Anolis sagrei: one gene and its partner. The protein of the gene in region 1 interacts with the protein of each later gene in a biochemical or structural test. Links are inferred from orthologs where the notes say so. Each region holds a gene or a part of one and is shown in the gene's direction. Other genes may lie near its edges.

Evidence for each region. The genes of interacting proteins can lie anywhere in the genome.
Region 2: the proteins of MIS18BP1 (region 1) and OIP5 form a complex in vitro, tested with the Homo sapiens proteins (2 studies listed by BioGRID). The link is inferred for Anolis sagrei from reciprocal best matches to the Homo sapiens genes MIS18BP1 and OIP5.

The regions. Positions count from the first base shown.
Region 1 is NC_090021.1:342,640,024-342,647,410, forward strand, and holds the start of MIS18BP1 (mis18-binding protein 1), read left to right. Parts: upstream 1-4,367; 5' UTR 4,368-4,564; intron 4,565-6,205; 5' UTR 6,206-6,391; coding exon 6,392-6,968; intron 6,969-7,387. UniProt on the Homo sapiens protein: Required for recruitment of CENPA to centromeres and normal chromosome segregation during mitosis.
Region 2 is NC_090021.1:288,820,695-288,828,092, forward strand, and holds the start of OIP5 (protein Mis18-beta), read left to right. Parts: upstream 1-4,382; 5' UTR 4,383-4,410; coding exon 4,411-4,720; intron 4,721-7,116; coding exon 7,117-7,183; intron 7,184-7,398. Other genes in the region: NUSAP1 (nucleolar and spindle-associated protein 1), read right to left, coding at 1,661-1,756. UniProt on the Homo sapiens protein: Required for recruitment of CENPA to centromeres and normal chromosome segregation during mitosis.

The DNA.
Region 1 (7,387 bases):
CCATTAGTGTCTCTTCGAATTCTACAGCACTGCTGGTCACAGCTGACCTCGAACTAGAGTGTTCAAGGGCCAGGGCTTCCCAGTTCTCAGTGTCAATACCACAGTTTTTAAGGTCAGCTTTGAGCCCCTCTCTAAATCTCTTTTCCTGCCCACCAACATTACAATGCCTGTTCTTGAGTTCAGAGTAGAGCAACTGCTTTGAGAGACGGTGCTCGGCCACATTTGGACAATGTGGCCGGTCCAGTGGAATTGATGGCAGTTGATGGCTCCAATGCTTTATTTGTATTTCGTTCAAAGCAATGAAGAAACGTGGACTGTCTACAGACACCACATGCAACTCCTGGAATCCTAGAATCATAGAATCCTAGAGTTGGAAGAGACCTCCTGGGCCATCCAGTCCAACCCCATTCTGCCAAGAAGCAGGAATATTGCATTCAAATCACCCCTGACAGATGGCCATCCAGCCTCTGTTTAAAAGCTTCCAAAGAGGGAGCCTCCATCACACTCCGGGGCAGAGAGTTCCACAGCTGAACGGCTCTCACAGTCAGGAAGTTCTTCCTCATGTTCAGATGGAATCTCCTCTCTTGTAGTTTGAAGCCATTGTTCCTTGTCCTAGTTTCCAGGGAAGCAGAAAACAAGCTTGCTCCCTCCTCCCTGTGGCTTCCTCTCACATATTTATACATGGCTATCATATCTCCTCTCAGCCTTCTCTTCTTCAGGCTAAACATGCCCAGCTCCTTAAGCCGCTCCTCACAGGGCTTGTTCTCCAGACCCTTGATCATTTTAGTCGCCCTCCTCTGGACACATTCCATGATGGAATGATTCAGCATGCTGGAAGAAGCAAAGACCACCAGCATTGAAGCGATGGTCCTCCGCCATCAACTCCGCTGACCGGCCACGTTGTCCGGATGCCCGACCACCATCTCTCAAAGCAGGTGCTTTATTCCAAACTCAAGAATGGAAAACGGAATGTTGGTGGGCAAGAAAAGAGATTGAAAGATGGGCTCAATGACAACGTTAAAAACTTTGGCATAGACACTGAGAACTGCGAAGCCCTGGCCCTTGAGTGCTCCAGTTGGAGGTCAGCTGTGACCAGCAATGCTGCAGAATTTGAAGAGGCACAAATGGAGGGCAAAAGAGAGAAACATGCCAAGAGGAAGGCATGTCAAGCCAACCCATGAACGGGACTGCCTTCTACCTGGAAACCAATGCCCTCAGTGCGGGAGAAGATGCAGGTCTAAAATAGGACTCCACAGTCACCTACGGACCCACTTGGTGGACCATCATCCTCGGACAATGAGGGATCACCTAAGTAAGTAAGTAAGTAAGTAAGTCTCCAGGAATTTCACTGAGCAGATTTCATACATTACTGATGCATCGGCTATAGGAACAGACAGCTTCCTATTGTGTGCAGATCTTACCAGATCGAGGCAGGGACCCATAGTGAGTCCCATGGAGAGCTAAGCCTGCAATGCATTCCTAAGTGCAACCCATGCGGTGCTGGTTCCCCTGCAAAGGGATCTCTAAAGTGGAGCGCATGGCTTCCTCTGGCTGATAAGGAGTCCCTTTGCCCCTCTCCCGGAGCCTGAAGCCTTGCAGATAAGGCAGCGCCTTGTGTTCCTTCGTAATCCAGTCAAAGCAAAGCACTTTGTGGAACCCTCTGCTCATTTCAAAGGTGCTCTGATTGATTTAAAACCTAAGAGGGAGGGGGATGGTTTTAGTGGGACTTAGAAGGGGCTTCGCTTTGGCGCAGAGGGAACTCCTAACATGGAAAAGGGGGGGGGGGAGCCCCAGAGAGTAAACATCGCCCAAGTTCAGGGGTCACATTTGCATGGCGTAAATGTGCACACCTTTCCTTACACGGAGGAGGAATAACAACAGTGTCTTTCGGCTGGACATCAATGCGGTGCAACCGAAGGCGCATCATCCAGTGTGCCTGCTTCATGTTCACAATGTGCACCAATGCACAAGAGCACAACTCTTGTGCATTGGTGCACATTGTGCATTGGTGCACAATGTGCCTGCTTCATGTTCACAATGTGCACCAATGCACAACAGCATGACTCCACAACCTCAAACCAAATGCAGAAATTCAGACTGCATTCTTTCTATAGTGTAAATAATCGCCATGTGCAATGTGCCTCTATGCACAACAGCACAACTCCACAGCCTCAAACCAAATGCAGAAATTCGGACTGCATTCATTCTATAGTGTAAATAATCGCCATGTGCAATGTGCCTCTATGCACAACAGCATGACTCCACAGCCTCAAACCAAATGCAGAAATTCAGACTGCATTCATTCTATAGTGTAAATAATTGCCATGTGCAATGTGTCTCTATGCACAACAGCATGACTCCACAGCCTCAAACCAAATGCAGAAATTCAGACTGCATTCATTCTATAGTGTAAATAATTGCCATGTGCAATGTGTCTCTATGCACAACAGCATGACTCCACAGCCTCAAACCAAATGCAGAAATTCAGACTGCATTCATTCTATAGTGTAAATAATTGCCATGTGCAATGTGTCTCTATGCACAACAGCATGACTCCACAGCCTCAAACCAAATGCAGAAATTCAAGCTGAATTATAATAATGTATTGTCGAAGGCTTTCATGGCTGGAATCACTAGGTTCTTGTAGGTTTTTTTCGGGCTATAGGGCCATGTTCTAGAGGCATTTCGCCTGACGTTTCGCCTGCATCTATGGAAAGCATCCTCAGAAGTTGTGAGGTCTGTTGGAACTAGGAAAAAGGGTTTATATATCTGTGGAATGGCTGGGGTGGGGCAAGGAGCTCTTCTCTGCTGGAGCTAGGTGTGAATGTTTCAGCTGACCACCTTCATTAGCATTTGAAGGCTTGGCAAAACAGCAGAGAGGAAACAACCAGGCACATCTTAACACCTCTCAACAGAACATTTTCCCAGGCTCAGCCAGGCCTTCAAATGCTAATGAAGGTGGTCAGCTGAAACATTCACACCTAGCTTCAGCAGAGAGCTCTTTGCCCTACCCCAGTCATTCCACAGATATATAAACCCATTTCCCTATTTCCAACAGACCTCACTACCTCTGAGGATGCTTGCCATAGATGCTGGCGAAACGTCAGAAGAGAATGACTCTAGAACATGGCCTATAGCCCGAAAAAACCTACATGAATTATAATAGCCACATGCAATGTGCCTCTATGCAAAATGAGCCCCAATACACAACAGCAAAGCTCCAAAGCCTCAACCCAAATGCATTTGATGGCCTGGCAGAGCCTGAAGCAATCTTTTGTTGTTGTCAGACTACACAGAGAAGCCGCTGAAATCCACAAGCATGTAGTCAATTTCAACGGAAAGGAGGAAGCCATGAAAATGAACACAATCTGGCTACCAGTATTAAAAAAACTCTAAAATTAGAGCAGCACAAGGAAACAAACAAGGACATCTAATCACCTCTCAACGAAAGATTGCCCCATGCACTGCCAGGCCATCAAATGCTAGACCAAATATTCATTAAAGTTTTACATAACAGATAACATATACATAGCTTTAAGGTTCTTTGATACACAGTATCTGCAATGTGTGTTCTCCTTCTTCCTCTCCACTTCTTTTGCACAGCAATGAATGAAAGCTGAGCGCAAAGGGAGAAAGAAAGAAAGAAACCGGGACACTTCCCAGAACGTGGGAAGAGATGGAGAGGCTTAGATGTGCGCATGCGCTAAATCCAGGCACCGCTCAATACAGTCAGAGGCTAGACAACGAAGGGAGGCAATTACGCAAGCGCACTGGGATCCTTCCAGGCGAGAATGAGAAGCTTGGATGTGCGCATGCGCTAAACCCAGGCCCCGCTCAATACAGTCAGAGGCTACACAACGAAGGGAGGCAATTACGCAAGCGCACTGGGATCCTTCCAGGCGAGAATGAGAAGCTTGGATGTGCGCATGCGCTAAACCCAGGCCCCGCTCAATACGGTCAGAGGCTCGACACCGAAGAGAGACAACTACGCATGCGCACTGGGATCCTTCCAGGAGAGAATGAGAGGCTTGGATGTGCGCATGCGCTAAACTCAGGCACTGCTCAATACAGTCAGAGGCTCAGCAGCGAAGAGAGGCAACTACGCATGCGCACTGGGATCTTTCCAGGCGAGAATGAGACTTGGATGTGCGCATGCGCTAGAACTGCTGCAAGACGCTCAGCAGCGAAAGAAGTGTACTGCGCATGCGCACTGGGAATATCTCCTCAGAGGCCTTTCTTCCTCTTTTAGAGGCATTTCGTTTAATACAGATTACGTAGTCCCGTCCCCCCCCCCCGCCCGCAGTAGCATTAACTGGTGTCTTCATGACTGGAAGCGAAAGGCCTGACAAGTTTCTCTTGGCCTATGTCTTCTTTTTGCCCGTCTCCAAAATGGCCGACAGAGGCATTTCCGTCGCCGACGACGTGATGGCGTCACTTCCGGCTTTCCGACCAATCAGCGTCGGCGGAGGCTACGCGGGGGAGATTCAAACGTAACGGCGGTTAGTCTGTGAGGAGAAGAAGCCGCTGAAGGTGAGAATGGATACGAAGAGACACAATAGTAGTAGTAATTATTATTATTATTATTATTATTGAGTCAATGTATTGTCGAAGGCTTTCATGGCTGGAATCACTAGGTTCTTGTGGGTTTTTTCGGGCTATATGGCCATGGTCTAGTGGCATTCTCTCCTGACGTTTCGCCTGCATCTATGGCAAGCATCCTCAGAGGTAATGAGGTCTGTTGGAACGAGGAAAAATGGGTTTATATATCTGTGGAATGACCAGGGTGGGACAAAGAACTCTTCTCTGCTGGAGCTAGGTGTGAATGTTTCAGCTGACCACCTTCATTAGCATTTGAAGGCCTGCCTGAGCCTGGGAAAATCTTTTGTTGAGAGGTGTTAAGATGTGCCTGGTTGTTTCCTCTCTGCTGTTTTGCTGTTGCAATTTTAGAGTTTTTTTTAATACTGGTAGCCAGATTTTGTTCATTTCCATGGTTTCTTCCTTTCTGTTGAAATTGTCCACATGCTTGTGTATTTCAATGGCTTCTCTGTGTAGTCTGACATGGTGGTTGTGAGAGTGGTCCAGCATTTCTGTGTTCTCAAATAATATGCTGTGTTCTCAAATAATGTGCTAACACAGCACAACAACAGAGAGGAAACAAACAAGGACATCTAATCACCTCTCAACAAAATACTGCTCCAGGCACTGCCAGGCCATCAAATGCTAATCAAGGTGGTCAATTGAAACAATCACACCTAGCTCCAGCAGACAAGAGTCCTTTGTCCCACCCTGGTCTTTCCACAGATATATAAACCCTTTTTTCCTATTTCCAACAGACCTCACTACCTCTGAGGATGCTTGCCATCGATGCAGGCAAAACATCAGGAGAAAATGCCTCTAGACCATGGTCATATAGCCCGAAAAAACCTACAACAACCCGCTTGGGAAGTGTTCGACTTGTGATTCTGTGATAAGAAATTCAGCATATAGATCTCGTTTGCTGTGACATACTCCTGGTTCATCAGGTGCTCTGTCCAGGCTGGTTCATCAGGTGCTCTGCTATGGCTGACTTCTCTGGTTGGAGTAGTCTGCAGTGCCTTTCATGTTCCTTGATGCGTGTTTGGGCAATGCTGCTACGTTTGGTGGATCCTATGTAGACTTGTCCACAGCTGCATGGTACACGGTAGACTCCTGCAGAGGTAACACCTCTTAACACCTCTCAACAGAACATTTTCCCAGGCTCAGCCAGGCCTTCAAATGCTAATGAAGGTGGTCAGCTGAAACATTCACACCTAGCTTCAGCAGAGAAGAGCTCTTTGCCCCACCCCAGTCATTCCACAGATATATAAACCCATTTCCCTATTTCCAACAGACCTCACTACCTCTGAGGATGCTTTCCATAGATGCAGGCGAAACATCAGCCCAAAGGCGACTCACAGCAGTTCACAACCAATAAGAACAGCAAAAGTTCAATGCAACAGTGTAAAAACAGTTAACAACTTAACACATTAAGTTTGCTGCATTCCTGGTCTGCCATCCAGTCCTTTCCTCAGATTATGGGTAGCTTGTTATGATCACTTGTCAGCCAACGTGGGGAGTTTTGTATCCTGAAAATTAGGATAAAAATCAGTATTTGTCACTTGAGTCTGATGCAAATAATGTTACTTGTTCTTAAGCACAAAACTAACCACGGCATTTTTCTTTTTAGCTAAAATGTGAAAGCACAAACCTGGAATTTATGACCCTCTCTTCATAGTAATAAAAAAGACATCAAGTTGAAAGACTTTGCCATTGGAACAACATGGAAGAGTCATGTTTTGTTAAGGTACTTGCTACCTCGCAAAAAGTTTGAGGGATTTTGTTGTCTCCATTTCCTTCTGGTAGAAGAGGAGGGATGAAAGCCGTTTCCCTCAGCATCATCCCTGGAGGCACGCCTCTAAAAGACTTGGGGAAATTTCGGGAGGATAGAACTTCAGTTGCCAAAGAAGCTGTTTTTCCTTCAGTGGTTCTTCCCTGCAGAAAAAATGGCTTGAGAAAAGAGGTTAAAGGGGGGAAAACCCTCCAGTCAACTCTCATAGCTGGTGCTCCTTTTGATAAATTATTTCTTGACCTCAGCGAGATAAAGCCAGTTACTGAAGAACAGGGGCCAACTTTGTGCGATGTGAAGCAGGAAGCCATATCGCCGACAGGGAGCACCTTCCTCAAAAGTAAGGTTTGCGAGCGGCCGCCTTTTCAGTCTCCGTCAAAAATCTTCTCAGCCATGAAGATCAGGGCAGCTCTTCGGGCTGTGCAGCAGGGCACGCCTCTGGAAAGGAATCTCACCCACACAAACAGCACCACGGACTACATCCTCACTCCTGCAAGACATCCAGGCCTTTTGGGAAGGCAAGGCGAGAAACCAAGCGCCAAAGAGGAGAAGCTAAAGGAACCGCTGGATGACGAGCCACATGAGGAGGCCAAGGCGGGAAAAGGTATGTTCTTCCATTCCTGTCTATAAACATCCCTCATCCATCATTTCCTTTTTAAAAAAAATTATTTGAGAAGAGAAAATAGTTATGTAGTCATATACTATACATTTCCCTCTTTTATTTACATTCACCCCTGTGCTCCCCTTCTCCAGAGCCATCTCTTTTCTTAAAGTCCCACCAAAAAAATCAGTTCTTCATTTGGAGATAAATTCCCATCTTCTCTTTCCAATAATTTTTCTAGAAATTTTCTCCAGATACTTTCAAAGTCATTTTTTACATAATCCCTTTTTTACTTTTAAGTTTGATGTTAGCTTATCATTCAATGCCATTTTCCAGATTTCTTTATACCATTCATTAATCTGTATTTTCATTGCCCCTTTCCAATATTTTGCAATTAATAGTCTAGCTGCTGTTAATAGCAT
Region 2 (7,398 bases), about 54 Mb from region 1:
GGAGGAAGAAATATGGGGACAAAAACTAGCCCAAACAAAAACTGCAGACCAGCTAACCAAAAAGCCTGAGGTGCACTGATTCAGAAGAAAACAATTTGCTGCCCCTTTGGACCCCAACAGGAGTTTCTAAGGTTCAAAATGGAAAATGGGCATCCTATACTTCAGCGGAGAAGAGAGGTTTCTCTGGAGACACACAAGTGGGCTCATTCCAAGTGGATCAGCCCAATAGTTGGGCGGTTAACAGTAACAAGAGGACAACAACCAAGCCATTGGCCTTCTTTGATTTGAATCCTACAAAGTAGAATGAATGCAGTTTGACACCACTTTTCCCGTCATGGTTCAGTGCTATGGAATCACGGGAGTTGTAGCCTTGCAAGGTCCAGAGTGCTGGTGTCTTACCGAACTACAAATTCCAGTTCAATTCCATATCAAACCGCATCACCTCAAGCTCCATCAAATCTCTAAAAAACCGAGTTCAAGACTTTTCTTAGAGCAAGCATGGGCAAACTTAGGCGCTCCAGGTGTTTTGGACTTTTTCAAAATATTTATTTCGGTCATTGACCAGCACAGGAAATAGTGTCACATTTCCATACAAACCTGGCATGTTTGGTACATTAAAAATATAAATATAACTACTAAAAACACAATATGGGTGAGGGAGCAGAAGGGGAAACAGGGTAAAAACATACAATTCCTACCGGGTGTTAGGAATTGTGGGAGTTGGTCCAAAACACCTGGAGGGCCTAAGTTTGCCCATGCCTAGCTTAAAGGAACAAAACCTTCAGTTTCTTCGGTCGCACCTACACTATAGAATTAGCGCAGTTTGAGACTGCGTTAACTGCCATGGCTCAACTATATAGAATCATGGGAGCTGTAGTTTTAAAAGGTACCTCAACAAACTACAAATCCCGGGATTACATAGCACTAAGGCATGGCAGTTAAAAGTGGTATCAAACTGGATTAATTTTACAATGCAGATGCACTCTAAAGAGTTCTGCTAGAATGTTCCACCAGCTAATAATTTCCACAACATCCGCGCCTTACCTCTCAAGGTACCATGGCTATAGTAATTCAAGGGTGTGCACTAGAAGTCTCTGTCATTCTAAGTACCGTTCAAAACTCAGTTCCCTGAGGCAATTCAGTGTTATCTTTGTGCCATTCCCCATAGAATCATAGAGTTGGAAGAGACCTCATGGGCCATCCAGTCCAACCCCCTGCCAAGAAGCAGGAATATTGCATTCAAAGAACCCCTGACAGATGGCCATCTAGCCTGTTTAAAAACCTCCAAGGAAGGAGCCTCCACCACACTCCGGGGCAGAGAGTTCCACTGCTGAACGGCTCACAGTCAGGAAGTTCTTCCTCATGTTCAGATGGAATCTCCTTTCTTATAGTTTGAAGCCACTGTTCCACGTCCTAGTCTCCAGGGAAGCAGAAAGCAAGCTTGCTCCCTCCTCCCTGTGACTTCCTCTCACATATTTATACATGGCTATCATATCCCCTCTCAGCCTTCTTTTCTTCAGGCTAAACATGCCCAGCTCCTTAAGCCGCTAATCATAGGGCTTGTTCTCCAGACCCTTGATCATTTTAGTCGCAGATAGCAATTTATAAATTCGTTTTCATTGGGAAACATAAACAACTAAGGGTAGACCTAAGTTCTCACCTTGAGATTGGCCTTCAGCCCCAGAGCCTTGGCCAGGGACTGCAGCTCGCTGTACTTGAGCGTCTCCAGCCGCTCCTCCGGGGGAGAAACCTCCATGACTGGGCGCCTCCAGCCACCAAAGGGAAGGAAGGAAAGCTCCGCGCCCAACTGCCGCGCCTCGAAGCCGCTCGCGCGCTCTCCCTTCAAACCTTCACTCGTCGCGCGGCATTGGTTGGACGCTCGCGGAAGAGGGCGGTGCCTGAAGGAGGCCCGTGGCCAATAGGATGCCTTCGCGTGAGCCAGCGAAACAAAACAAAAAGGTTATTTTTTTCTAGGGTTTTTTTCCCCAAGCTTCTCGTACATTTTCGGAAAGAGAACGGAAACAGCCGAGCTCCCAACCCTTCCAGTTGGCGGAGAGACCAATCCTCCGGGGGTTGGGAATAAAATCAACCGGCGACAAAAGCATGAATGGGTTGCTGTAAGTTTTCCTGGCTGTATGGCCATGTTCCAGAAGCCTTCTCTCCTGACTTTTCGCCTGTATCTATGGTTTGTTGTTCATTCGTTCAGTCGTCTCCGACCCTTCATGACCTCATGGACCAGCCCACGCCAGAGCTCCCTGTCTGGAGCTCCCTGTCTGCAGTCACCACCCCCAGCTCCCTCAAGGTCAGTCCAGTCACTTCAAGGATGCCATCCATCCATCTTGCCCTTGGTCGGCCCCTCTTCCTTTTACCTTCCGCTTTCCCCAGCATCATTGTCTTCTCTAGGCTTTGCTGTCTCCTCATGATGTGGCCAAAGGTTGTAAGATCTCTTGGAAACTAGGAAAATGGGGTTTATATATCTGTGGAAAGAACAAGAGTTCTTTCTTCCAACCTTTTAGTCCGGGGGTCCTCAAACTTTTTAAACAGAGGGCCAGGTCACAGTCCCTCAAACTTTTGGAGGGCAGGATTATAATGTAAAAAAACAAACAAACATGAATTCCTATGCACAATGCACATATCTTATTTTAGTTCAAAAACCACTTAAAAACAATACAATAATTACAATAATGAACAATTTTAATAAATATTAATTTATAAGTATTTCAATGGGAACTGTGGGCCTGCTTTCGCCTGATGAGATATGATTGTTGTTGTTGTGTGCTTTCAGGTCGTTTCAGACTTAGGTTGACCCTGAGCAAGGGCCAGGTAAATGACCTTGGAGGGCCACAACCGGCTCCCGGGCCTTAGTTTGAGGTCCCCTGCTTTAGTCTTTAACTTTCTCTCCCAAACTGTGCTTGTGCCAGCTATCACCTTCCAACAAAGGATTCCCCTAGGCAGGAAGTGGTCAGGCTTGGAAGCTACAAGACCATTAAATGCTAATTAAGGTGGACAACTGCAGCATTCACACCTGCCTCCAACAGTGTCAGTGAAAGCCCTGGATCCAAACCTCAGCAGATACCAAGGATCTACTCCACACCGCATTTTAGATTGCATACCTTTGGCAGGTCCAGTGTTTGTTGTTTTACTTTTTAAGGCAGTCTGTTATTTCAAACAATGATATGAACAAAATCTGGCTACCAGTATTTAAAAACTCTAAAATCAGGACAGTAAATAAGGAGCAATACTCAGAAAACTGTGGAATTCCAGGCATGAAATAATCAGGGCCAGCTAGCGTATCCTAACAAAGGATTCCCCCAGGCAGGAAGCGGCCAGGCTTTGAAGCTGCAAAGGCATTGTATACTAATCAAAGTGGCCAATTACAACATTCACACCTGCCTCAAACAGAAAAAAGTTATTTTTCCCAGCCTGGACATTCCATAGATATATAAACGCCACTTGCCTAGCTTCCAACAGATCTCACAACCTCTGAGGATGCCTGCCATAGATGTGGGTGAAACATCAGGAGAGAATACTTCTGGAATGTGGCCATACAGTCCGGAAAACTCACAGCAACCCAGTGATTCCGGCCATGAAAGCCTTCGACAACGCCAAAGCATAAATGTAAAAAAAAAAAAAAGAGCTGAGTTAAGAGGGCCAGGCTTTCAAAAGGAAAGGAACCAAACCGCCACCGTTTTTGAGACCAAATCAATCACCGAGAGGCATTTCAAACACAAAGCTGCGCAGTTTAAAATCAACACAATGAAGCCTTCCCAAAAACATCAGAAAGGAGCTGGGATCTAGCGCCCACCCACGTGACTTTGAAACCGAATTGCTGCTTTTCACAGCGCATCGAGAAAGAAAGCCGAATTCCGGGAGAATTGCGGGAAGGGGGATAAATGCATGTCATATTTTCCCTTTGGAAAGAAAAGGGGAACTGAGAAGGGATTCAACAACCCGGAGTCTTTTTAAAGAAATGTATACATATAAAACGGGGACTACCTTTACCTTTACCTATACATATAAAAACACGCGCGCACACAGCACAAGAGAGTACCAAAATGCCAAAGGAACACGGTGAATGTTGTGAGCCGCTCTCTCCTCTCCAACCGAGTCTGCAGGTCTTACGAGAGAAAGACAGGCCTCTGCGTGGGAGGTCAAGTGCCGAAGAGACGTTGGCTTCGAGGCCTGCCTGGGCCACGGAAACGTCCAAATAAAATTGTTTTTAAACCGCCCGCGCCCCCGCTTTGTGTTATATTCTTGAAACCCGATTGGGTCAAGCCGCAAAGTAGGCCAATGGGCGAGGAGAAGGCGGGCGCGTGCTTAACGAAAGCGGGGGATTAGGTCTAACGGAAACGTGGGCGGGCAGCTCCAGCCAATGACGGTGGAAGAAGGCGGGCTCGTGCTTGGCGGGGGATGAGGTTTGAACGTTTGGCGGAAAACAAGATGGCGGTGCGTCGGCAACTGCAGCTGCTCTTCCAGGAGCCCCGAGTGGGTGGCGGCATCATGGTGGAGCGGGCAGGACCTGGAGTAGCGAAAGGCCCCAGCCCGCCGCCGCCGCCGCCAAGCAAGAGGCCCGAGGGTGCCTGGGAGCGGCTCCCCGGCTTTCGGGGCCTGAGACCGGAGGACTGCGTGCTCTACCAATGCCGGAGTTGCCGCGCCGTGCTGGGGGACTCGCTTCACCTGTGCGCCCAGGAGGAGAAGCTCCGCCTCCTCGCCTGCTTCAGTGAGTTCGCCTAGCTCGGGAGAGCGGAGGTTGGGCGCATCCTCGCTACGCCAAGTGGGGACAACCTGTGGTCCTCCAGTGCTTGGGCCTCCAACTCCCAGAAGCTATTGCCAGCCTGTCCAATGGTCAGGAATTCTGGGAACCTGGAGGACGAGTTTGGAACTCACTTGAGTAGAATGAATGAATCAGAAGTGATGGGCGTTGTTATTCAATAACAAATGGGCTAAAAATGAAAAGCAACTATGTGAAAAATATATTTGGCCCCCTGTATCCTCACATTTATTTATTTATTTATTATTATTAACTTTATTTATACCCTGCTAACATCTCACGAAGGACTCGGTGCGGCTTACAAGAGGCCAAGGCCCAACACATCAATAAAACAACAGCATAACAATACAACAATTAGTAAACTCATAAAAGAAAGCAATAAACATTAGACAATAACACCACAACACATTTAAAACTAAGGCCAGGCCAAATGTAATGAATAAAATTTAAAAAATGCTGGACATGACAGGTGAAATGGATAGGTTTTTGGAGATAGGTGCTGTGTGCAGACAATCTTAAATCTCTAATAATGTGCATTTGGGACATGATGCTAGGCGTTTCCTATTCTGGGAAGGCACACTGGAACAGCCACGTCTTCAAGCTCTTCCTAAACACTGCCAACGTTGGGGCTTGTCTGATGTCCTTAAAGAGAGAGTTCCAGAGTCGGGGGGCCACCACAGAGAAGGCCCTGTCCCTCGTCCCCACCAAACGCGCTTGTGACGCAGGTGGAATCGTGAGCAGGGCCTCTCCAGATGATCAGAGAGATTGTGTAAGTTTGTATACTGTATTTATATGCCGCGTTTCTCAGCCCTGGGTGGACTCAAGGCAGTTTACAACGTACTAATGGCAAAAATTCATTGCCAACATACAGTAGACAAATCATAATAACTAAGTAATTACTACATATAACTATGAACTTAAAATCAACTTAAACCATTAAACATAAATACATAACATTTAAATATTCAGACAAAGCATAAAATCACCCTAGTATAAACATTAGGCTATGTATCTCAGATGTATATGAAACATAAATGAATGTTGTGTTCAGGCTTTGGGTCTCATCTCCAAAATATCTCGAAATGTATCTGCAAGTATTCCAAGATCTTTAAACATTCTTATTTAAAAAACATTGCTAGTCCCATGGATTTTGGATAGGAGTTAGTGAACCTGAACTTTATCTCTGTTCTGAGTTGCATCCAGGTACGGACTATTTTTAAATTATTATTATTATTATTATTATTATACCCTGCTTTTCTCCCAGGACAGAAGCCTTATCTGCATTACATGATCAGTGTAGACTCATATAATGCAGACTGAACTGGATTATATGAATCTACACCAGGTTCTCCCTCCATGGATTCAAAGGCCCATTGAAGACAACTGTAAGGCTTGACACCACTTTAACTAATGTGGTTCTGTCCCCAGATGTTATTAAATGATAAACTTTTGAATATCTGCCATGCAGATTGGGGAAAATGGGAATTGCAACCCAACAGCACATGTGGCTCTGGGGTTGGAGAAAGGTTAAAGGACAAAGGTTAAAGTCGAATATCATATCCACAAGCCATATATCTAAATTCAGGCACCATCATTCTGACTAAAAATGACAGACTGCAACCTTACAGGTGTTACTTTTTCACATTGAACATCAGCTCCAATCATGTCTAATGAAGAGGAATACAGGAGTTGTCATCCAGCATCTGGAGGACTACACAGAAAGACATGGCAGGCCAGATTTGTGTAGATTCACCCTCAAAAATATTCCCAGCCCAATTACATTCATACTTCCTTGAAGGCTACCTCATTCCTACTTTGTATTTGCTTTGCTTTCCTTTCCTTTTGTTTTGTTTTGTTCCTGGCCATCTAACAATATAAAAATAGTTCACCTGTTTCTTTTTTGTTCAGCAAATGTACTGAGATTTTTCTGCAGTCAGATTTCCTGTCAAGTGTTTAAGCAGCATGCAATGATTAGAAGGATACAGTTAGCTCTTCAGATCAGTTAATTTGCAGATTTCATTGCTGTATTTGCAAATTGCTGTATTTATGCCACCTCTTTTGTTCTACTCACAGCCAAAAACATGTGGTATCTTCTGTCTAGGCATTTGTGGGTCCCACAAATGGCTAGAGCAGTCTTCTTTCAAGTAAAAAGTAGCATTTGCAATTTATATTTGCATTTTCCCCACTTTGAGACTATGTGCCACTAACACCGGTAAATGTAGAGGAGCTACGATATATTAAGGGTGTGCGAGACATCAAAAAACTGCCATTTTGTATGCAATATAATTAAATCTGTTAGCAGAAAATTTGGAGTTTAATTTTTTTTAAATGTTTTTCTCTTTCAGAAGTCACAAATGATATTGTTGTGGAAGATGATTTGATGGTTTGTGTGGAAGGAGATCTTACTGGATGGTGGGTATTTCTTGAAATTATTCCTTCTCTTTTATGCATGCTAAATTAAGTGATTAATGCGATGTGCGCGGCTTGATGAATGCAAAGCTGGGGTGAAAATTGCTGGAAGAAACTTTAACAACTTCAGATATGCAGATGACACCACTCTGATGGCCGAAAGTGAGGAGGAGCTGAGGAGCCTTCTAATCAAGGTGAAAGAAGAAAGCGCAAAAGCT